Linked DNA regions of Nothobranchius furzeri. The protein of the gene in region 3 purifies or fractionates together with the protein of the main gene of each other region. This does not show direct contact. Links are inferred from orthologs where the notes say so. Each region holds a gene or a part of one and is shown on either strand. Other genes may lie near its edges. The genes, in order: tmem231, tectonic-3 and tctn2.

Region 1 (7,490 bases), on a different chromosome or scaffold from region 3:
ATGAGGAAGCGGTGTCCTCTGCTGAAGCCTCAGGTCTCCACTGATGAACAGTTTAACTCCAGGTACAGGTGAGGAGTGCTGCACATAAGCCAGACTCTGCATCACCACTGTCGACATCCGCTAGCAGAAACCAGAGAAATAGAAATGCTCTGACTATTAAATTAAACAACAATAATTTAAAGGGACTTTTCGGACTTTTGAATTTTAATGCCTGCGATTGCCCCCTCAGGCCAAAAGCATAACAGCAGCTTCAGTAGTAGGCTCGTACACGAGGCGTGCACGCTGTACGTGCACACTCCTTAACGAAAATAACAGCTGAGACAGTCCCGTGTGTGTGTGTGTAGGTGTGTGTGTGTGGCCCGGAGGACAAAAGAACACACAGATAATTAATTAAATAATTTGGTTCTGTACCTTTCTCTTCAGCACAGCCGACAAAGGTTTATGACGGGTCAGTCCTCCTGCATGCTCAGATCATTCCCTTCCCTTGCTTGAAAAATTGTTCCAAAATGAAAGTTGAACCCACATCTTTTTTATCTGTGAATTCAATGCCGTTCAGCGAGTCTCAAATAAAAATTTGGGCATCTTACTGTAAAAAATATACCATTAATGTAAAAAATAAACTCTAAATAAACTATGTTCACATCCAGAATCAAACCCAGGTCTTCTGCACGAGAGTCAGATATCTTACAAGGTGAGCTACACTCTAGTAACATTCAGACTGTCTAACATTTATATCCTTGATGACAGCTGAAACAACGTTCAAAGAACGGTTCGGAGTGAAAATGGCTATTTTGTTGCTAATTAGCAGGAAATATCTAGAAGAAAGTTCTACAGAAAGTAGCTAAGGGTCCTCAGAAATGTAGCTAGCTTTGTCACTAGGCGTTAGGAACAGCGACAAAGTGGCACTGCCTCTCTCTCTGCTGCTAAAGCTACGGATAGCAAACGCTACGGGCGATGCCTGAGCGTGAACGCGCATGAAGCAGCCTGCTCGACCCGAGCATCTCTCTTTTTCTGTGATTTTACATAAAAACAGGCAATCACAGTAAAAATGCCAGGGCTCATTCTACAGGACCAGGGCATTGCAGGAGAATGTATGAAGAAGACATTTATTATTTCTATACATGTTTTGGCTGTCACACTTCCATAATGTCCCTTTAATGCAAAGACGAAGTGGCTGAAATATTTCTTCAAAGCACGTTGGACACAAATAAAAATCCTCTTCCTCTGCATGGAAAGAGCTCTTTGTGAGACGGCTACTGGAGTGGGATACATACAAAGAGCTGGTAGCTGAAGGTGAGCAGCAGCTGAATGCTGTAAACTTGTTCATCAGGTTTCAGCGGAAGCTGCAGTTGCAGGTTCAAACGGTCCAGTTTCCCATCCTGGTTCAGGTCCTCCTCTCTCACCTTTATGAAAACAAAACACAATTTTCATTTACAAAACAAAAATACATAATTACAAAAGACAATCTTGCAGAGGCACAAGAGACTCGTGGAAATGAATGATCCTCCTTTAGAGTAAAAATGTGTTTTAGCTTTTTCTGGTTTCTTTATGTTTTCACTTTCACAAATATTAAGCACCTATTAAGTCTTTTATGTGAATTTTCTGTGTTCTGACTCACTGCTGGCTGGCTGAGCACCAGCATGTTTTTTACTTCAACAGTATTCATCCTGCTCTGGTTGGCAGTCAGTCTCAGCCTTTTAGGTGTAAAATATGAAATCAAAGCTGCAGAGATTTTACCAGTGATTCAGAAATAACTTAAGGGAGAGGAACGTTGAGTTTTCTTACAGAGATAGTGGGGATACGTAGGTTGGTCCCAAGCATGTTGTTAAGGAAAGGGAAAGTGCTCCAGGCAACATAATGTCCTTGAGCACTGGTTGCTGCTAACAGCAAAGTCTCGTACTGGAACCTCACAACCGGCTGTTCTTCGTAAATGCTTCGTTTTATCCAGAAACCTGAAATGAGAAGAAACTAAAGCAGTGAACTCTATCTGCTCAGAGCGTCAGATACAGTTCCACTCAACTCCTTTCTCCACCTCATCTTCTCGTGAACGTCCACTAAGCTAATTCACACGGGCAATAACAGCTCTTCCATGAAAATGTCTTTGACATCCAAAATAATCATTTTCAACATGGTCAAATATTTTAAACGTTGTTTTTTTTAGGTAAATGACAATTGGAAACAGTCAGTGGTGTGTTAAAAAAAGAAACAAAGCTGTCATTTAGACTAGATGCTGTAAAACAATGTGTGAAAGCACTGTTATCAGGTAAGTTACTCTTTTATTTTTATTGCTGCTATAAAACTTTATCATCTCAGCAACTGAAGGTTTTGTAAAGAAGCTCTCGAGTTGTTGTCGAGATTATAAATCTCACAAGCTAAGGTGATCTGCGGAGTAAACCATGTGTTTTTGTTTCCATATTAAGTTTGTGAACAGGAACGTTTCCTGTAAAATCTGGTGGATTAACACAAGTGAGATTTCCAGACATTGACAAGAACTTGACGTTGCCATGTTGCTTTATTGGTCGTGCTAAAATCACAAGTTATGGAGCACATTTTCAAATCTTAATGCAAAAAATTCTTAATTTTAAGAGAAATTTGTGTATGTTTTCAATAAGTGAACTAGTTTATTGGCAGTGTCTAAATATCACATGAGCCAAAATGGATGCTGATTGGTAAATATTAGATGAGTTTTCCAGATTTATTAGTTTTGTTTTGCAACAGGGTTAAGAGTGGGAATCTGTAGAAAGCTACTTGGAGAATTAAATACCTTCAGGGTAAAAAAAAAACTGCAAATTACCTACTGAGAGGTATGTGTAAAATGAGAATGAGACTTAGCTGCACAAGCAGGTTTCTGGCTCAAAGATGATCAACTAAAGTTCTGCAGCCTTTGTTGCTGAACATAACTGCTTTTCAGAGTTTCTCCATATGATTTAGCAAAAGTTGGGGTTGTCTAAAGTATAAGATATTCAGCACCTGCTGGTCAGATCTGTACAAGAACTGAAAACCTGTATCAATCTCAAAAACCAGAATGGATGCCTCTCTAATATTGGACCAGCAGCTCAAGAGGCACAGCGGGTTGTCCAGTAATCGGAAGGCCAAGTGCAGCTGTGGATACAATGTAGCTCATCAGCGTGTGAATGTGTGTGAATGGATGAATGAAACACTGTAGTGTAAAGAGCTTTGGAGTCCTCCGACTCTGAAAGGTGCTGTACACGTGAGGTTCGTTTATCATTATTTAAAAGAAATAATTTCAAACACAAAACTGAGGCTTTTTATTGCAGGTTTCTGCAATATTCTCCAAGTTAATTACGAAACTTTCACTCATCAATCACAATAAATGCATATTTTATTTGTATTTTTTTTCAGTCACATCACAGTATAAAAGCATGAAAAGTTGGTCTGTAAATATCCCTGTTATTTTATTCTATCATTATGTGAATTTAATCTGGGATTGGTTTTTCTGCAGTCACTTGATGGTCAGATTAAATATCTTTGTGATGGTAACAAATACAAAAAGGGCAAAATTATAATAAGATAATAAAAAACATTCAGTAAACCTTCCTTCAATAAACTTTACAAGACTTGTTCCCTCCATAAACCCGAGGTTTTGGTGAACCTAAGCATTTGTTATTACTTCTTGTCTCTGTAACTGAGGATTTACACATCGTAGGACATTTGAGGAGACACGATGAACAGTTAATAAAAGCTTTCTGGTGACCGTTACTGTACCTTGACTCCTGTATGCAACCAGCAGCGGTGGGATGTACGTAAGGCATAAAACAACAACCAGAAATAAGGTAGCTGTTGTACAAACACTGGTTTTGTACCGAACCACGGCCGGGTGAGAGTAGACTTCATAAAAAGCCATGAGTACCCGCTAGCTAAACGCTAACCGCTAACGCGGATGCTAACTCGGGTCTAATAAGAGAAAAAGCTCACAAACATATTTAACTCATATAAAGCAATGTCCATCTAGTTGAATGTGGAGTCAAGCAGCCCCATAAAGACATATTCATCACGAAATTTGGCGTTTAACATGCTATTTTTGTTAGCCTCTGTGATTATCGGTGCGGGATCCCACGCCATGTTAGCTAGGCGTCTGGCGGTTACCATGGCAGCCAACGACCAGACTGCGTTCACGCAACGTTTGAGAGTACGGGAACCTTTTTTCCAGATGTGGAAATGTTGCTATTTTATGAGGCGTCTGCTACTCTTTTTAATTTTGATGAACATAGTGTAGAGAAACTATTTACACAGACTGTCTTGGGGGCATTTTTTAGAGATTATGGAAATCATTTATTAGGTATTTTTCTTATGATGTTACTCATTCTGACTGTATGTGTTATTCTGTTCTTTAGAAAATAACAGAAATACAAACAAGCGCCTTTACCATTATGTTTTATGTGTGTGAGGACTCAGTCACGGATAGACCGACTCTCCCGGAGAGCCCGTGAAGGCAGCACTCTGTCAGACGTTGACGTCACCTCTCCGCTAGACGCACAGCTGAAAGGCTAATTTGACGTTGTTTTGATTGCGTTTGTCTGGATATTTGGACAATTCGCCGACATTACCCGCAGATTTAGAAGCTTCTACGCGTCACGCCTCAGTGCGGGGATCCAGCAAAGATGAAATGGATGTTTAAAGAGGACCATTCCCTCGGTAAAAGGGTTTGGATTGTTATGAAACAAGAGATGCTCTTGTCGTGTCATCCCACCTTATTCTGTTTTACTGTCCCCGCATCGTTTAGCAATGCCACCGCTCATAGACGCAGTAATGCATGCTTTTATTTTTTGCCATTTGCACGACTGCTGTAATTCGATTTCGCTGCATGAAACCATTTTCCCTTTTTGGTCGCTTTATCGTTGCCCTAAAAGCAAAATCAGCTGAATCTGCTCTGATTCCTGTCTTTACACTGTGTGTTTACACCTTTTGATAATGTTTGACCTAAACACCTAATGTCAGAACAAATCCAGCAAGAATAAATTCTTATATTTTTTTAATTGGCTAAGAGACCTAATGAAAATACAATTTGAACATGTAAGTCAGGATTGTTTCAAACGCATTAACAGTAACTGAACTCACATCTCATTGGAGCCATTTCTGTTATGTAACTCAGCTTTTGTGTGGAAACTCTCACCGGATAACCTTTTTAAAGAAACACATCCAAAGTAGGCCTCTTATCTGGGTTAATGAAAGCCTGCACCTTATCAACTATCACCTCTCCTCCCCTCCCCGGGCCTCATTTTCTGCATTGCTGCATGTCCTGCCTAAAATCAATGCACACAATGGCATCAATCATGATTACAATCACTGTGAAAGGCAGCTAGTGCCTTAATTTGATCACAAATTGTTGTTAGAGTTGATAATCCATTTTATGCGTGCTGCATCTTGTGTGAAAAGTGTCTGCTGTGCACAGGGAGCTCTCTGTGTTGAACAAGGCTTGGCTTTAAGATGGCAGAGGAAGAATCCCAAGAGGCCTCACTCATCCTTTTAATCTCTACTTCCTGTTTGTTTTCTGTCCCTCCCTCAGAGCACCGATGTGTGGAGTCAGCCAAAATACGCAACAAATACCCTGACAGAGTACCGGTGAGTCCAGGGGGTGGGGTGCACTGGCATGACAGTAAATCAACAGATTAAGCTGTCTGAATGTAACCTGCAGGGACGCAGAGCTGAAGTCAGGAGATTTAGTTTTGTTGTTGTTTTAAACTGATCTCCAGCTGAGGAAAGAAATAAACAAACAGATTTTTAACAAATCAAATCTATTTCATTCTCATGATTTAAAGAGCAAGTCACCCCCCAAATCAACTTTTTTTCTTTCTGATAAACTATATAAATGTGTGTCTAATCGTGCTGCAGACACGTGTCATCAATAGTTTTGCACTTAAGTGCATTTTAGTCGTCCTCGTCTTCCTCCGCTTATCCAGGTCCGGGTCGCGGGGGCAGCATCCCAACTAGGGAGCTCCAGACCGTCCTCTCCCTGGCCATCTCCACCAGCTCCTCCGGCAGGACCCCAAGGCATTCCCTGACCAGATTGGAGATGTAACCTCTCCAACGTGTCCTGGGTCGACCCGGGGGCCTCCTGCCAGCAGGACATGCCCGAAACACCTCCCTGGGGAGGCGTCCAGGAGGCATCCTGACCAGATGCCCAAACCACCTCAACTGGCTCCTTTCGATCCAGAGGAGCAGCGGTTCTACTCCGAGTCCCTCCCGAATGTCCGAGCTCCTCACCCTATCTCTAAGGCTGAGCCCGGCCACCCTACGGAGGAAACTCATTTCGGCCGCTTGTATCCGCGATCTCGTTCTTTCGGTCATTACCCAAAGCTCATGACCATAGGTGAGGATTGGGACGTAGATCGACCGGTAAATCGAGAGCCTGGCTTTCTGGCTCAGCTCCTTCTTCACCACGACAGATCGGCTCAGCGTCCGCATCACTGCAGACGCCGAACCAATCCGCCTGTCAATCTTCCGATCCCTCCTACCCTCACTCGTGAACAAGACCCCGAGATACTTAAACTCCTCCACTTGAGGTAGGACCTCTCCCCCGACCCGGAGTTGGCAAGCCACCCTTTTCCGGTCGAGAACCATGGTCTCAAATTTGGAGGTGCTGATCCTCATCCCAGCCGCTTCACACTCGGCCGCGAACCTACCCAGCAAGAGCTGAAGGTCAGAGCTGGATGAAGCTAGGAGGACCACATCATCCGCAAAAAGCAGAGACGAGATTCTCCCGCCACCAAACTCAACACACTCCATACCACGGCTTTGCCTAGAAATTCTGTCCATAAAGGTATTGAACAGAACCGGTGACAAAGGGCAGCCCTGGCGGAGCCCAACCCTCACTGGGAACAGGTCCGACTTACTACCGGCTATGCGGACCAAACTCACGCTCCTCTGGTAAAGGGACTGAATGGCCCTTAACAGAAAGCCACCCACCCCATACTCCTGGAGCGTCCCCCACAGGGTGCCCCTGGGGACATGGTCATAAGCCTTCTCCAAATCCACAAAACCCATGTGGATTGGTTGGGCAAACTCCCATGCCCCCTCCATCACCCTTGCAAGGGTATAGAGCTGGTCCACAGTTCCACGGCCAGGACGAAAACCACACTGCTCCTCCTCAATCTGATTCAACTATCGATCGGACCCTCCTCTCCAGTACCTTGGAGTAGACCTTTCCAGGGAGGCTGAGGAGTGTGATCCCCCTATAGTTGGAACACACCCTCAGGTCACCCTTCTTAAAGATGGGGACCACCACCCCGGTCTGCCACTCCCTAGGAACTGCCCCCGATGACCATGCAATGTTGCAGAGACGTGTCAACCATGACAGCCCTACAACATCCATAGCCTTGAGATACCCAGGACGAACCTCATCCGCCCCCGGGGCTCCGCCGCTGTGCAGTTGTTTGACTACCTCAGCAACTTCTGCCCCCGAGATTGGACAGTCCATCCCCAGGTCTCCCGGCTCTGGTTCCTCCTCGGAATGTGCATAGGTGGGATTG
Region 2 (7,599 bases), on a different chromosome or scaffold from region 3:
CCATCGTGTCCCTCTGGTCTCCTTTTGGGTTGACAACCTCACCAGGGAGGCGTCCTGGAGGCATCCTAATTAGATGCTCGAGCCACCTCAACTGGCTCCTCTTGATGTGGAGGAGCAGCGGGTCTACTATGAGCCCCTCCCGAATGACCAAGCCTCTCACCCTATCTCTAAGGGAGAGCCCAGCCACCCTGCGGAGAAAACTAATTTCAGCTTGTATTTGCAATCTCATTCTTTCGGCCACTACCTAAAGCTCGTGACCACAGGTGAGGGTAGGAACGTAGATGACCGGTATACCGAGAGCTTTGCCTTGTGGCTCAGGTCTCTCTTCACTATTGGGCCATTCCCATCTGTACCGGGTCGGCCCGGGCCGAGTAGCCCCAGTCGGCCCCAGCCTGGCCCGGTTGATTCCACACATCCTTGTCTTAAGCCCATGTGGGCTGATTCTACCCACCAATCAGAGGCTTGCTCTAATGGAAGGTGTGAATGGGCTGATTCTACCCACCAATCAGAGGCTTGCTCTAATGGAAGGTGTGAATTTGCTGTCAGCAGTGGGTGTGTCGGCCCTGGTCGGCCTGAAGCAGTACCCCTCGGGAAGAGGGCCGAGAATGAGCCTTGGTTGGCCCGGGAAAATACCAGGCCACCCAGATATGTAAACAACCTACGCTACCCGGCCCGGGCCGACCCGGTACAGGTGGGAATGGGGCTTTAGACAAACCGGTACAACGCTCACATCACTGCAGACGCAGCACCAATCCGCCTGTCGATCTCGCGCTCTATCTTCATTTGAGACAGGACCTCATCCCTGACCTGGAGAAGGCCTTCTACCCCTTTACTGGCTCAAGACCATGGTCACAGATTTAGAGACGCTGATTCTCGTCCTAGCTGCTTCACACTCAGCTGCGATCAACTCCAGCGAAAGTCAGGGATCACGTTCTGATGAAGCCAACAGGACCACATCATCTGCAAAAACGCAGAGACCTGATCATTAGGCCACTAAAACGGATCCCCTCAACACCTTGGCTGCACCTAGAAATCCTGTCCGTAAAGGTTATGAACATGTGACAAAGGCAGCCTTGGCAAAGTTAAACTATCACACTGGAGGCAGCTCCAATAGTAAGCGTTTATATTTAGGGACCTCTGGTTATGAGTAGACGACTCAAGGGCTCTTGCTGAACGCTTAAACAGGGCAGTATCAGGCCTTTTAATGATTTACAAAGAAAAAGTTAGTCATTTAAAATCAACCCAAAATGCAACAGGAGGCCAGTGAAGAGAGGTATGTTCAAACTTCCTCGTGTGCATCAGAAGGCCAGCAGCAGCGTTCTGGACTGCCTGAAGGTGTGACACAGACGACTTGCCAACTCCAGAATTCAGTCAGAGCATTACAATGGTCAAGACTGGAGCATGAATCACTATCTGAAGGTCGCTATGGGAGAAACTGGCTTGACTGTTCAGTAATCTTAGATAGAAAAAACTGGATTTCCCCACCATGTTTGTCTGTCTGAATTCTGGTTGCTATCAAACACAAATCCTGGATTTTTACTGATTACTTTTAATGTGGAACCAAGGCTCTGATTTAAGGAGGTCGGGACATTAAGGTCACCAGACAGCACACATTCAGTCTGGCTTTCACTGAGATGTAGGGAATTCTGTGCTATCCAACCCAGAAAATCATTCAAATGGTCAAACAGAGGCTGCAATGACAATCCTTTCAGTGCTCTCAGGGGTAAGAAGGTAACTCAAGAGGTTGAGCGGGCTGTCCAGTAATCGGAAGGTTGCAGGTTCGATCCCGGCTCCAGACAGAGAATTCCTTGGGGAAGACACATAACCCACCTTACCTGCTGGTGGTGGTCGGAGGGACTGGTGATGCCTGCGCTCGGAAGCCTCAGTGCGCCCCAGGGCAGCTGTGGCTACATCATAGCTCATTATCACTATCCGTGTGTGTGTGTGTGTGTGTGTGAATGGATGAATGATGGCTTCATTCATGCATTTTCCTGTCTCAGCTGCAAATTTTGCCTTTTACTTTGAAAGTGCCATAAAGTCTTAATGGAAACTAATCTCGTCATCAGGCCCTGCTCCTCTTCCTGAAGCTAGTCTCTAGTCTGAAACCTGTCTCTCCAGGTCAGCACAGGATTATGGCTTATGCGACTGGTGTCATTTGACAGACTTGGTAGTCCAGTGGTTAGAGTGCCAGGTTGGACACCTTAACCACTGGATCACCATAAACAACACAGCAACCGATCCGCCTAAGACGCTGTTCTAGGCACATTTTGTCAGAGTGGGCATGGGCAAAGTTTCACTGAAACAGGTGTAAATTCAAGCTGACGAAAATAACCCGTATTTAAGATAAATTACATCTCAATAATGCTAACGGAAATATTTGATCACATATTGTGCCTACCTTTGCTCTCAAAGGTTTAAAATAGCATGATATGGAAGCGACTAGTTCCCCTAAATTTGACAAGAAAATCTCATGCTCAGTGCTGTCTAGATTTAAACCCAGATTGAAAATATTCCTCAATAACTAAAGCTGAATAAAGACAATTCTTTCTGATACTTTTAACAAGAACGGCCATTTAGACACGGGTTTGAAGTTAGACAGCACTGCTGGGTCCAGGTTGGGATTTCTGTTTAAAAGACGTTCCAAAGGGGAAAAAAGTATAAACCTGCCCTTATTTTTGATGTTTTTACAATCTATTAACTCAAACAAAGATGATAAAATCCTGTTAACTCCAGACAAACTCCCTTTTAAAGAGGAACCATTCGGTATAGCCTTTCTGAACTTACTTGCAGGGTTGCGGTTGAAGCAGAAAGCAGAAGCTGCTCCAGCAGAAGGTTGACGAAGGAGACCACGGACAGAGGAGTTGGAGAAAAACGTCTGGATAACATCATCGGCCTAAAACAAAATGTCAAATATCTGTGATTAAATATAAAAACCAGGTTGTTTTGTTTGAACACATCCTGCCCATACGCCTGTTTACCCTGTAGAAGTGCCTGCTGTGCCTGATGAACATGTGTCCTGATGGTGAGAAGTGGTACGAGTCTCCTAAAGCTGGACTCTCATGGAGGGAAGGGAGAGACTGAGGAGCAGCAGCTGATGGGCGGTAAACAAAAAAATAAGAACAGATATGAGTGTCTGATGAATTATACAAAACATTAAAAAAACATCTTTTTACCTTTGGAACGCACACAAAACATGGTGTCAGTGACGGTGACAAGAGATGAATCAACGTTGGCTCTGAACATGAGCCACTTCTCAACGCAGACTTCAGATCTGCTAAAGAAAAGTTATTTTACACCTTAAATTATACTTTTGTCTGTGACACAGGAGGGGAGAGTATAAGGACGGCCTACATAACTGCTGGTGAACATCCAGTGAAGATGGCTGTTAGGTTGGCAGCATCACAATCAGCTGTGTCACAACAGCAGCCAATGTCACAAAAATCAGGCGTTAAATCGCAGAGACAACCTGAAAGACAAGAGGGAACACTGTAATCATACAACAGATAAAGAATTCATATAAATGATAAAAACGCGCAAACATATAATACAAGACCCAAATCAACCCCCCCTTCTGTGATTTAAATCTACGAGCAGACAATTTTTATAAGATGCAGAGGAGGTAAACTCTCTTATGGACATAATGAAATGCATTTAATTCATCTCCTAAAAACGTTTGCAAAACAATCTAAAAGTTGATCAAACCAAGTGAGAGATTATCCAGATTACATGTGGGTTACATGTGGGTGAACAAGAATGACCCAAGTTGAAGAGTGAGGTTAGAGGACTCAGTGCTAAGTGGAGAATGTTGAAGCTGGAGAAAAATGTCAGCTGTGATAAGAGTTTCTGCAGGAGACCAGAGATGCTGCGTGGTTTAGAGACAGCAGCATCAAGGAGAAGACAGGAGGCAGACGTGGAGGCAGCGCAGATGAAAATGCTGAGATCATTGAGATGATTTTATTACATAACACTCATTTGTCCTCTGGATCAAGTGTGTATAATGGCATTGTTAAAAGTTTTAAGAGTGAGGTCCGGATGACTAAATTGGTTTTAGAAACTTTGCAGGTTCATTAAAACAAGGTTAAAGGTCTTGCCTTCTCCAGATATCACGGTCTGGACGGTGGTTGTAGGTGATGGAGCCTCAGTTATGGAGGGATTAGTAGTTACCATGGAGTCCCGTGGAGCTGTTACCAGGGAGTCCTGTGTATTGGTTACCATGGAGTCCCGTGGAGCTGTTACCAGGGAGTCCTGTGTATTGGTTACCATGGAGTCCGGTGTAGTAGTTATCATGGAGTCCAAAGCGGGCGGACGGGTTGCCTGCTCAGTGACTCCCGAACCCCCCGGAGCCGATGTGGCTGAGCTGAAGGGCCCCCCTATTGTCGGAGGGGTGTCCACAGCCCCAGCGGTCCCCTGGTCTGCAGCTGCGCGAGCCCCAACTCCTCCATAGGAAGCGATGTAAACATGGAGCCAAAACAAACACCAGAAACGCGTCATTTCTCCAACTTGGCGGTGCTACGAACACCTATCCACACATTCAAAAATACTCAAAATATCTGACTTTCCAGAGGTAGCGTTTGGCTAAATGCTCAATCATAGCAACCTCCTTGTAACTAAGGAAGTTGTCAACAAGACTTCCGGTTGGAACGACAGATCTACCGTAAAACACGTAAAAGATAAGGAATATTTGTGAATCAGAGTCGGTCTGAAAATTTGTGAAAATAATAAAAACTTCTGAAAGCAGGTTTGAATTTTAAAAAAAGCACATATTCTATAGTTTTATGGTTCAGACCCATGTTCTGACCGGACACTCAAGGACTTGATTTAATGAGGAATGTTTGCACATTATGTCCTTGTGTGTTACTGTTTCCCCGAGCGGCAGCAGTCACATGCCGTTACAGGATGTACTCTTGTATTGTTTACACAAGCGCTGCTTCACCTCTTCCTTCCAGATTACCTGAACTACCTGCCCTGGCATGCAAAGGCAGAGAAAAACACAGACTGTATGAAATTGCCCCAGGAAGAGTCTAATTCTAATAGGTCACAAGTTTATGTAAGTAGTGTGTGTGTGTGTGTGTGTGTGTGTGTGTGTGTGTGTGTGTGTGTGTGTGTGTGTGTGTGTGTGTGTGTGTGTGTGTGTGTGTGTGTGTGTGTGTGTGTGTGGATCCTAACAAACTGAATAATAGCCAATAAAATCCAAGTACAAAGAAATAACATGAAAAAATAATGAGCAGGTGTCCTCAATTTGTTCAAGGGCTGGAGTTTTTTTCCTGCAGACACCGTGAGAGCCAGATGCCCTTCTAAAATTAAGTTAACCTTGCAGGCTCAAAATAAGTTAAGTCCTTCAGGGGTACTTCTGAGTTAAAAAATGCTCATTAAATACGTATCTACCTGGTAGGTAGATTTCAACTGTTGCAAATCTGCAATGCCTGCCTCCAGAGGGTTAAAGTATTATTGATTCTTAATGCATTAATATTTAAAATGTCTTTTTAACTCCATCATTCAGTCATCTAAACTGTTTTGATAGTAGTTTTAGTTGTGTTTTTCAATGAGAATGAGAAATGAGTTTAGTGAGAAATTAAAATCAATAGTACAATCAAAATAGTACAACAAAAAACATTTACAGGTTTACAAGCAAACACACAACTTACACAATTCAAAGAATGGGTGCAGGCAGAAGCATAAGCTGATAAGCCCAACCCCCAAACCCACTTAAGCAAAATTTTAGAATAGCATACCGATTCCATAATTTATACATCATTATCGAAATTTATTGAAATATATTCAAATCCCCATTCTTGCTTTATAAAAAATAATGACCTTTAATATTTTATAAATTTTTTTCATTGACTTGATTCACAATATTTAATCACGTCGTCGTCATCATCGTCTTCCTCCGCTTATCTGGGTCCGGGTCGCGGGGGCAGCATCCCAACTAAGGAGCTCCAGACCGTCCTCTCCCCGGCCTTCTCCACCAGCGCCTCCGGTAGGACCCCATGGTGTTCCCGGACCAGATTGGAGATTTAACCTCTCCAACGTGTCCTGGGTTTACCCGGGGGGCTCCTGCCGGCAGGACATGCCGAAACACCTCCCCAGGGAGGCGTCCAGGAGGCATTCTGACCAGATGCCCTAACCACCTCAACTGACTCCTCTCCATCCGGAGGAGCAGCAGTTCTACTCCGAGTCCCTCCCGAATGTCCAAGCTCCTCACCCTATCTCTAAGGCTGAGCCCAGCCACTCTACGGAGGAAACTCATTTCGGCCGCTTGCATCCGCGATCTTGTTCTTTCGGTCATTACCCAAAGCTCATGACCATAGGTGAGGATTGGGACGTAGATCGACTGGTAAATCGAGAGCCTGGCTTTCTGGCTCAGCTCGCTCTTCACCACGACTGATCGGCTCAGCGTTCGCATCACTGCAGACGCCGAACCAATCCGCCTGTTGATCTCCCGATCCCTCCTACCCTCACTTCTGAACAAGACCCCAAGATACTTAAACTCCTCCACCTGAGGTAGGACCTCTCTCCCGACCCGGAGTTGGCAAGCCACCCTTTTTCCGGCCGAGAACCATGGTCTCAGACTTGGAGGTGCTGATCCTCATCCCAGCCGCTTCACACTCGGCCGCGAACCTACCCAGCAAGAGCTGAAGGTCAGAGCTGGATGAAGCTAGGAGGACCACATCATCCGCAAAAAGCAGAGACGAGATTCTCCTGCCACCAAACTCGACACACTCCACCCCACGGCTGCGCCTAGAAATTCTGTCCATAAAGGTAATGAACAGAACCGGTGACAAAAGGCAGCCCTGGTGGAGTCCAACCCTCACCGGGAACAGGTCCGACTTACTACCGGCTATGCGGACCAAACTCACGCTCCTCTGGTAAAGGGGCTGAATGGCCCTTAACAGAAAGCCACCCACCCCATACTCCTGGAGTGTCTCCCACAGGGTGCCCCTGGGGACATGGTCATAAGCCTTCTCCAAATCCACAAAACACATGTGGATTGGTTGGGCAAACTCCCATGCCCCCTCCATCACCCTTGCAAGGGTATAGAGCTGGTCCACAGTTCCACGGCCAGGACGAAAACCACATTGCTCCTTCTCAATCTGAGATTCAACTATCGATCGGACCCTCCTCTCCAGTACCTTGGAGTAGACCTTTCCAGGGAGGCTGAGGAGTGTGATCCCCCTATAGTTGGAACACACCCTCAGCTCACCCTTCTTAAAGATGGGGACCACCACCCCGGTCTGCCACACCACAGGGACTGCCCCCGATGACCACCCAATGTTGCAGAGACGTGTCAACCACGACAGCCCAACAACATCCATAGCCTTGAGATACCCAGGACGAATCTCATCTGCCCCCGGTGCTCCGCCGCTGTGTAGTTGTTTGACTACCTCAGCAACTTCTGCCCCCGAGATTGGACAGTCCATCCCCAGGTTTCCTGGCTCTGGCTCCTCCTCGGAATGCGCGTAGGTGGGATTGGGGAGCTCCTCAAAGTATTCCTTCCACCATCCAACTGCGAGTTGCTGCCTCCCTCTCCTGAGGCGCCGGACAGTTTGCCAGAACCTCTTTGGAGCCGATCGATAGTCTTTCTCCATGGCCTCATCA
Region 3 (7,598 bases):
ATTTTCTGTTATTCCAAATGAAATATGTGTGTGGGCTAAAGATGTATGTAAGAAGGACCAACAACGTTTGCTAATGGGAATATTATAATTTGAGAATAAATTAGTAATTATAAATTTAAATGCAAATTCAAGGCTAATTCAAACAAGCTGAACACCTCTAATAATATCGAATACTGCAGCTCATGGTACTCCTAATAATAATATCTCATCGGTTTTGAAAGTGTCATGAATTGTGGTGAAATTCCCAAAAAGTATGTCCACCTGTAGAAAAATATTTTTATTTCCAAGAATTGCAATATTACAACTGTCAACCCTTTACAAACCACTTCAAAACTATAAAATAATTTACCACCTCTAATAGAAAAATAGCATTTCACACTGATAGTCATCCTTTTGAATCTTACTTTCCCTTTATCGGCCTGAATGTCATCCTTTACATCTTTTCCAACCATTTTTAAATTATTTTAGAGAGCAGCATTGTGCCATGCCTGTCTGATCTGTCTCCATGGAGTCCCAAGGATCGAGGCTGCAATAAACATTCCTACCAAGACCATGCCTTTAGCCAGCGACTGAGAATAAGGCTCACCTGTAGGAAGAAAAGGTCAAATAAGCATTATTATATCATTACTATTCTTAATTCACTCTGGGAATGATTTATTTAACACAAATGCTAAAAATAAATCATTTTTTTTAATCACCCAGATTCATAAATAATTGATTCACATCATCCAACTTAACATTTTAAATGCCACGGATACGTTCTTACCTGTGAAATATCTAGTGAAGGGAAAAGCAAGCTCGGGCCAACACACATCATTCCTGTTACAGTCATATTCTGTGAAGTTGATCTGAAATCTGCAGAGAAAAATAAAATCACACTCTATGTTAGTAGCTCAGGCTTCACAGTTCTTCCTAAGAGTGGTCCAAACGTTCCAGCACCTGCTTTTGGGTGGACCTGTGTTAACTGGGATGTCAATAAATGTAACTGAAGATGTGATGGAGAACAACTGAGGTGTGTCTGGGTCCTGGCAGGAAGAAATGTCACCTCCTCCACATTCCAGTGTCCAAGTGGTCCGGCTATAACTGAAAATGACCAGAAATGGAAACAATACCTCAACTCAAAACCACTTTGTGGTCCTAATTGGACTTGCACTGTGAAATTTGTGTTGCGAAATGATGTGATACACACTTGACTTCCAGTGCATGGATTTCCCTTTGAGGTATGCCACCTATCTGGCCGGTGATAAGAGTCCAGACCTGGATGTGTTGGTGGGATGGAACACCATCACATGCACTTGTGACTTTCCCCATAGCTGCACTTGAATTCAGAGTCGCGTCTAGATTAAATGATGTGAAAAACATCGTTTAGTTTCAGACGGAGTAGGAAATGTGTCACAAATATTAGCAAGAAATAAAATCAATGCTTCTTCGCACCGTCAACTTACAGCTTATGTTCACCCAGTCCATCAAACTGGTAAAATCTGGGTTTCCACGTTTTGCCACATAAGTGGCAGCTATCAGCGTTTCCTGTAGATTAGTGACCTTCTCTCTAAAGCACAAAAAACATTACATCTGATGCTCAAATACAAAAACAGACAGTGCAGCTTTCACAGTACATACTGAAGATGAATCCTAGCAAGTCACTGACCTGAGGAGATTACACTGAGTCAGATCATGTCGGCTGACAGGAAGCAGGCAACCGGAAGTTGAATTTTCACCAAAAATAACCATTTTTTTCTGAGCAGTAGAACACAGTCCATCATGCACTAAAGGCCAAATCAGGAGAAAACATGTTAGTTGTTAATTTAGAAAGGACTGAAAAGTGTCTGAGTATCAAAATAGATTTTATCTACAAATAAACTAAATGACAACTGATTTTACCTGATTTCCAAATATTCATTATTCTCCTCTGTATTACTTCTGTACCGTTTTCCACAACACCAGCAATAACAGGTTTTCCCACTTGATAACCTGTTGTTTAGATGAGTTAGAATGATCACATGGGATAGGATTCTTTCATATTCTCAATAAACTTGTTTGAGGCTTATAAAATTATTATTTCCTTCCTCCTACCTGGGTTTCCAGAGTTGGACTCAGGCCTGAATTCTCTGTTCAGAAACGCAGCAGAATATCTTGCAGTTAGCATCACTGTTTAGAAGACAGAAGTCAGTCAACACCATGTGGCACAGGTTTGCTAACTATAACAGGAAGTGTTCAAAGTTACAAGTCACCGCTCTGATTGGAGGTGATAGTCCCAACCGTGCGTGTCAGTGTGATACCCGTGATGCCATTTCCTGTCCAGAAGAATTTGTAATCCAGGGCTACGGTCACATTTGGGCATTCCAGCCTCTCAGCTTTGGATAAATGTGAGAATATTTTATCATAAATGTAACTGTCAAGGGTTGTTTCAGTGCCAATAATCTGTGCTGAAGACATACATACATATGGCGTTAACGACACTGCTTTCAGAAACGAACACACTCACGTCAGGGATCACGACATCAGTTACGTTCACCACCACAACTCCTGGGGAAAAACAATAGTATGTCACTTGGATCCAAACATTTCCCAACAGCTATCCTCCATAGCAGGTGAAACACACCCCCGTTGCCATTTTTAACTTCTGTGCTCAGATCTGTCAGCTGTGTTTGTAAGGGAGCTCCAGTGGGACAGGAGAGGAGAAGAGATACACACTCAACACTGAAATCCTTTAGAAAAGCCACGGGAGCCATTTTCAGACACTGACCAAAGAGCATCTGTGGAACAAAAACATGCACAAGAGCTCAGCTGTTAAATTGAGCTGTTAGTATCTGAATTTAAACAATGTAATAAAAACATTTTTACCCACCTGAGGGATTGTGAAGAATTGGCCATTTAGAGTGACAATCGGACTTCCTTGAACATAAACTGGCACCGGAGCTTTTAACATGGGCCTTTGGAAGGATGGGCCAGGGATAGATGAGCTAAAAAGTTTAAAGGACAAAAAAATACATGATGAAAACAAGACATGAAAATAATAACAGGTATAATCAAAGACACACGTCCTTTCTTACACTGTGTTTCCTTGGTAAAAGAGGCCGAGGTATGGGCTGTTTTCAGGTGGAGAATGGACACATAAAAAGGGAAACCAGTCTGGGGTGTTTTCAGAGGACTGAACTGAGCACTGATATTCTGGAGCAGGAGAGACCTGCCCACCAAACGGTCCAGGCAGACAATGAGATGCAACCAGCTTCAAATCTGCACTGGAACAGTCCTGGTAATGATGAAGCATATTGTGTTTAGATTAATAAAACATAAAGTACATTCAGCCAAAATCTGTTTTTAAACTACAAGAACACAGATAGCATTACCTCGTCACAACAGCAGCGTACATCACACACTCTGTGTGTCAGATCACAGGGACAAACACCTAGAGGTTGGTACACTTGGTTTGGAATGACTGTCTGGTTATCTGAAATAAACATGACCCATAAATAAAAGACATAGCCCACTCTCAGAAGTCATCACGTTGCAATATCGTGAAACCAATTTGATTTGAGTTACCAGATCCAGCATTAGTAGGGAACAACTGGGCATATAAGGAGGCCTGGATCAGCAGTGATGCCTGGGGTGTGCTGCCAACACAGGCAGACACCTGAAGGGTTTCCAGGACACACAGTGGCTTTGAACAACAGTCACCAGTTGTATCATTCTCCGTACACAAACGTAGACTTTGATTGAATCTCAAAGTTAGTCGTAATGCAGTCTGTGGTGCAAAGCAAAACAAAAAGCATAGACTTAGTGGATTATGTCATTTGCTCTTGCACTTGATTGAAGCGTTATCTGATCATTTTGATCAGACTCAGATCAGTTTCTTACCTTTCCAATCTGCTCTGTTGCCAGCGTCCATCGTGTTGCCTCTTCTACACATGATGGAGAACCAATACTCCCTGTGGAGGACAAAAAATATTTACTCCCCACCAAATCTGATCAAATTTGAAACATAAACACCAATCAGCCTAGACTTTTTGATTCAGCACAAAGGCTGAGGATCAGTACAGAGAAGGTATGTGTTTAGTTTTGATTAATCTCTCCACCTGTCGTGTTGGACAGAGAAACCTTCCTCAGCGTCAGGGAGACTCCTGAGGTGTTCCCCAGCAGATACGATGTGACGGTTGGTCCAGAAGCAACGAGAAATGTCGGCTGGAAAACTAATGAAAGAAAAACAAAACTATTTTATGTTAGCGTTTGTTCTCAAAAATATCAAAAGGAATGCATTAACAGTTATTTCAAAAAAATAACGCGAAACTGTTAGCTCCATTGCTAGCATCAAGAAATGCTAGCTAGTTCAAGTAAGATTCGTGGGTTACTAGTAGATAATTATTAAACGCGTCTTACCAACAATGTCTTGGGAGTTAGCCAAGTAAATAAGTAGCACGATGGATAGAGCATGACGTGAAATGTTCACAGAAAGGATAGCGTTAGCCACATTAGCCATTATAGAGTCGACATATTAGTAAACTATTTGTGATGTCTTAGCAACGCGGATCTTAACCAATCACAGACAAGCGTTCTTGCTTGGATGAGGTAAAGGTTGTGTTAGCAACACCGCCCCCACCTGGTCATATGTGGAAGTGTGAAACGTTACGCAGCAAACAGGCGCTTCGTGGGTTTTTGTTTTCGAGTTTGGCAGCGCCTCGCCAGGAAAACAGACGCAGCAGGGGGAGTATGGGGACAAAAAAGCAGCTTCAGGACAGACATTAGCTTCATAAATCGTAAGTGCTGAACGTTTGCGAACTCTTGAATGAACATTTATTTACTAACCATGTTGTTAAAGATGTGGATGATTTCCTTTTCAGCCAGTAGGGGGCAGCACGTCACTTTCACAACACGACACAACTTCAGTAGAAGTAAAATTAGGTCACGTGACCAGCTAACCAACGTGCTCTTGAGAATGTGTCAACAACGATCTTCACTAAGGATTAATTAATACAACGATGTTTGAAAACCTGTTGACAAGTCTGAAAAACAGTTTGATCATCCAGGATTCCGCTCCCGATCCCGGAAGTAAAACACTTAATTCGTTTTTTGAAAAACTCTCTGAATCTTCCAGGTTAGTTCCACATCTCTGCTTGTTTGCTTAATTTTACAAACTCGTAAATAATCACTTGCTTTTGTCTAATGCTAATAAACCTGATTGTGATTCTTGTACGTACAGGAGTAAGGTAAAAAGATGTAAGGAGCGCTGTTTAGAGGAGGCTGTCCAGCTGCTGAGACAAACATCTGTAGCTCAGCTTCGTAGTTTGGAGGAGAAACATCTGCTGCTCCTTGCCAGACTCCTCATATCCCTGCAGCTGGAGATGGCCAGCATCTCCACGGCCTGTCGCAAAGTGGACCAGGTCAGCAACACGGTCCCTCTTCATGGTGCAACAGTTTCTACTAAATCTGATTGATAAAAATGTTCATATCTGTCTGACAGATGTTGCTGCATCTGACAAAGGTGGACCACCAGCTGGTTTACAGAGAAACCCTTCACAGTTTTCACTCAATAGTCTACAGAAATCAGGTAGAGGTATCTAAAATCATTGTTGTTTGTTATTAATTTATTTGTGTTTAGATTTGTGGAATAACTTTGATCATGTGCATTTTTTAGGTTTTGTCTTTAGAAGATTTGCAGAGAGGTTGGTTAAAATTGAGGTATTTTACTTTGAAGTCACTGAAATGTAATTTTATTTTTTTTTACCCCTTCCAGCATGCATGTTCCTGGAAGACAGCTCTGTTGGTCGTGAAGTGTGGCGAGATTCATACAAGTCCATGCTGATCAAAGTGTCTGAGCTGCTTCCTGTTGTCCTGCAGGACAAGTCCCTGAGAGATGGACCGCTGTGTTACGTCGCTGTGAAGGTAAATGTTTAAATCATGCATCATGAATGATTTGTGTAACGGTTGTTACTAACCTGTGAACTGCACCTGCTGCAGGTGTGTCTGCAGATATTCCAGCTGCTGTCCAGGGAACTTGCTCCTCATGTTTGGGAGCAGGACAGCAGAGACCCGGCGGTGCAGATGATCCTGCAGGCTCTCATGGACATTATACTTGGACAGGTTCTTCTTTTTTTTACTCTGACTTTGGAGTCGTTCATTTGGATGACAACCTGTGTTGTTACAGCTGCTTGGTGTACGTTTTGTCTTGCAGTGCTCCAACAGGGATGCCCGTCTTTTAGCTGGGACTGCTGTGGCGATGCTGATTAACACGGCATCCGAGAGCAGAGCTGGAGGAGAAGCTGCCTGGGGTCTGTTGCAGGTCTCTCACCAAAGTAAGTCACAGCTGGTGCAACAAACACAGCAGATCAAGTAGTGACTGTTAAAACTCGTAAATCATGCGATTGATTTAATATTTGCTGCATCAGATTGTGTTTGCTGACTGTGCGTTTCTCCTCAGAGCCCTGGCAGCTGATGGTTGGCGCTCTGAAGGTCCGGTGTGACCCCTCTGCTCAGGATGGAGTGGACCGGCTGGCTGTGTGCAGGGGCCTCCTGACCTGCTGCCGACCTCACATCCTACGCGGCTCCCAGGATGACTCACAGGTGCATTCACAGATGTAGGAAACCTCTCTGACTTACTCTAGGTTTTATTATCAAATCGATCTGTTTCCACTAGACGTGCTTGCTGCTGGACGGTTTGTTTCCCCTCGTCTACTCGCTGTGCGAAGAGAAGCTGGATTGCCACTGCTTTGCCTTTGAAGGTGAGCGACGTTCCATTCAGTCAGCTGACCGATTCAGTGAGAATCGCCCGTTCATCCATGACCTGCTGTTGCAGCTTTAACTCTGTGGCTGAAGAGGGTGAAAGAAAGTGTCGATGATCTCTGGAGGATGACGGGTGTTCGTCTTTTACCCGAGAACAGTCTCCTGCTGCAGCAGCTCCAGCACATCATCTGGACCAATGCAGAAAGCCCCGTGAGCCTTTGGAAATAACTAACGCAGATGCTGTCTCGTGTCGAGGATGCAGAATTAAATCATTAATCATAGAAACAATCGCATCACTGACTGATGATCACCTTTGTCTCTGTGCCTCGGCAGATAGACGGAGTGCCTGAATTTGTCAACAGTGCTTTCCTCCAGTTGCTGAGCCTCTTTAACCAGGACTGTGAGAAGTTTTCTGATGCAAACACGACTTTTTTCTTCACCCTGCTTCAGCGAACCATGAAGCTGCCTTGGGAGACCAGAGCTCTGTATCACCGCCTCGGTGCCCTGCTGCCGTACCTGGGCACTGACACGGTGAGGTTTTGAGTTACTAAGTCCTCATTCATGTTTTGATTATAATTCGTGACCTTAATTCTAGTTCATGTCACCATCAGGTGCTGGACCAATACCCCGAGTTGTTTGATCACCTTCTGAAGTGTTTGTCAACCAATCACCTGTCCCCGTGTGGATCAGAGCTGTATAAATGTCTGATCCAGCAGCAGAGGAGAGAACTTTGTGGAGGATCACAGAACTCCTCCTGTCCCACTGAGGTGGATCTGGCTAAGCGCTGGGCGAAGCGTTGGCAGCCTTTTGTTCTTGAGGCTCTGAGGTCAGATGTGACTCTCCTACAGAGCAGCAGCTCATCACACCTACTGCCCGCCACC

The links.
Region 1: the proteins of tctn2 (region 3) and tmem231 purify together in Homo sapiens (affinity purification with mass spectrometry; 3 studies listed by BioGRID and IntAct, counting the BioPlex papers as one, with this or other methods). This does not show direct contact. The link is inferred for Nothobranchius furzeri from reciprocal best matches to the Homo sapiens genes TCTN2 and TMEM231.
Region 2: the proteins of tctn2 (region 3) and tectonic-3 purify together in Homo sapiens (affinity purification with mass spectrometry; 3 studies listed by BioGRID and IntAct, with this or other methods). This does not show direct contact. The link is inferred for Nothobranchius furzeri from reciprocal best matches to the Homo sapiens genes TCTN2 and TCTN3.

The regions. Positions count from the first base shown.
Region 1 is NC_091744.1:86,198,736-86,206,225, reverse strand, and holds the start of tmem231 (transmembrane protein 231), read right to left. Parts: upstream 4,099-7,490; 5' UTR 3,866-4,098; coding exon 3,727-3,865; intron 1,953-3,726; coding exon 1,786-1,952; intron 1,404-1,785; coding exon 1,275-1,403; intron 121-1,274; coding exon 1-120. Other genes in the region: gabarapl2 (gamma-aminobutyric acid receptor-associated protein-like 2), read left to right, coding at 4,623-4,656, 5,528-5,583. UniProt on the Homo sapiens protein: Transmembrane component of the tectonic-like complex, a complex localized at the transition zone of primary cilia and acting as a barrier that prevents diffusion of transmembrane proteins between the cilia and plasma membranes.
Region 2 is NC_091756.1:34,784,993-34,792,591, forward strand, and holds the start of tectonic-3, read right to left. Parts: upstream 4,619-7,599; 5' UTR 4,492-4,618; coding exon 4,092-4,491; intron 3,467-4,091; coding exon 3,352-3,466; intron 3,275-3,351; coding exon 3,174-3,274; intron 3,092-3,173; coding exon 2,979-3,091; intron 2,894-2,978; coding exon 2,785-2,893; intron 1-2,784.
Region 3 is NC_091757.1:45,964,058-45,971,655, reverse strand, and holds tctn2 (tectonic-2), read right to left. Parts: upstream 4,546-7,598; 5' UTR 4,478-4,545; coding exon 4,378-4,477; intron 4,191-4,377; coding exon 4,077-4,190; intron 3,930-4,076; coding exon 3,859-3,929; intron 3,746-3,858; coding exon 3,544-3,745; intron 3,452-3,543; coding exon 3,351-3,451; intron 3,254-3,350; coding exon 3,054-3,253; intron 2,964-3,053; coding exon 2,849-2,963; intron 2,757-2,848; coding exon 2,603-2,756; intron 2,527-2,602; coding exon 2,443-2,526; intron 2,355-2,442; coding exon 2,232-2,354; intron 2,149-2,231; coding exon 2,074-2,148; intron 1,972-2,073; coding exon 1,882-1,971; intron 1,767-1,881; coding exon 1,649-1,766; intron 1,550-1,648; coding exon 1,446-1,549; intron 1,338-1,445; coding exon 1,190-1,337; intron 1,084-1,189; coding exon 940-1,083; intron 856-939; coding exon 767-855; intron 587-766; coding exon 465-586; 3' UTR 263-464; downstream 1-262. Other genes in the region: si:ch211-225b11.4 (tRNA (32-2'-O)-methyltransferase regulator THADA), read left to right, coding at 4,977-5,092, 5,198-5,378, 5,459-5,545, 5,633-5,660, 5,732-5,880, 5,956-6,078, 6,170-6,290, 6,416-6,558 and 4 more.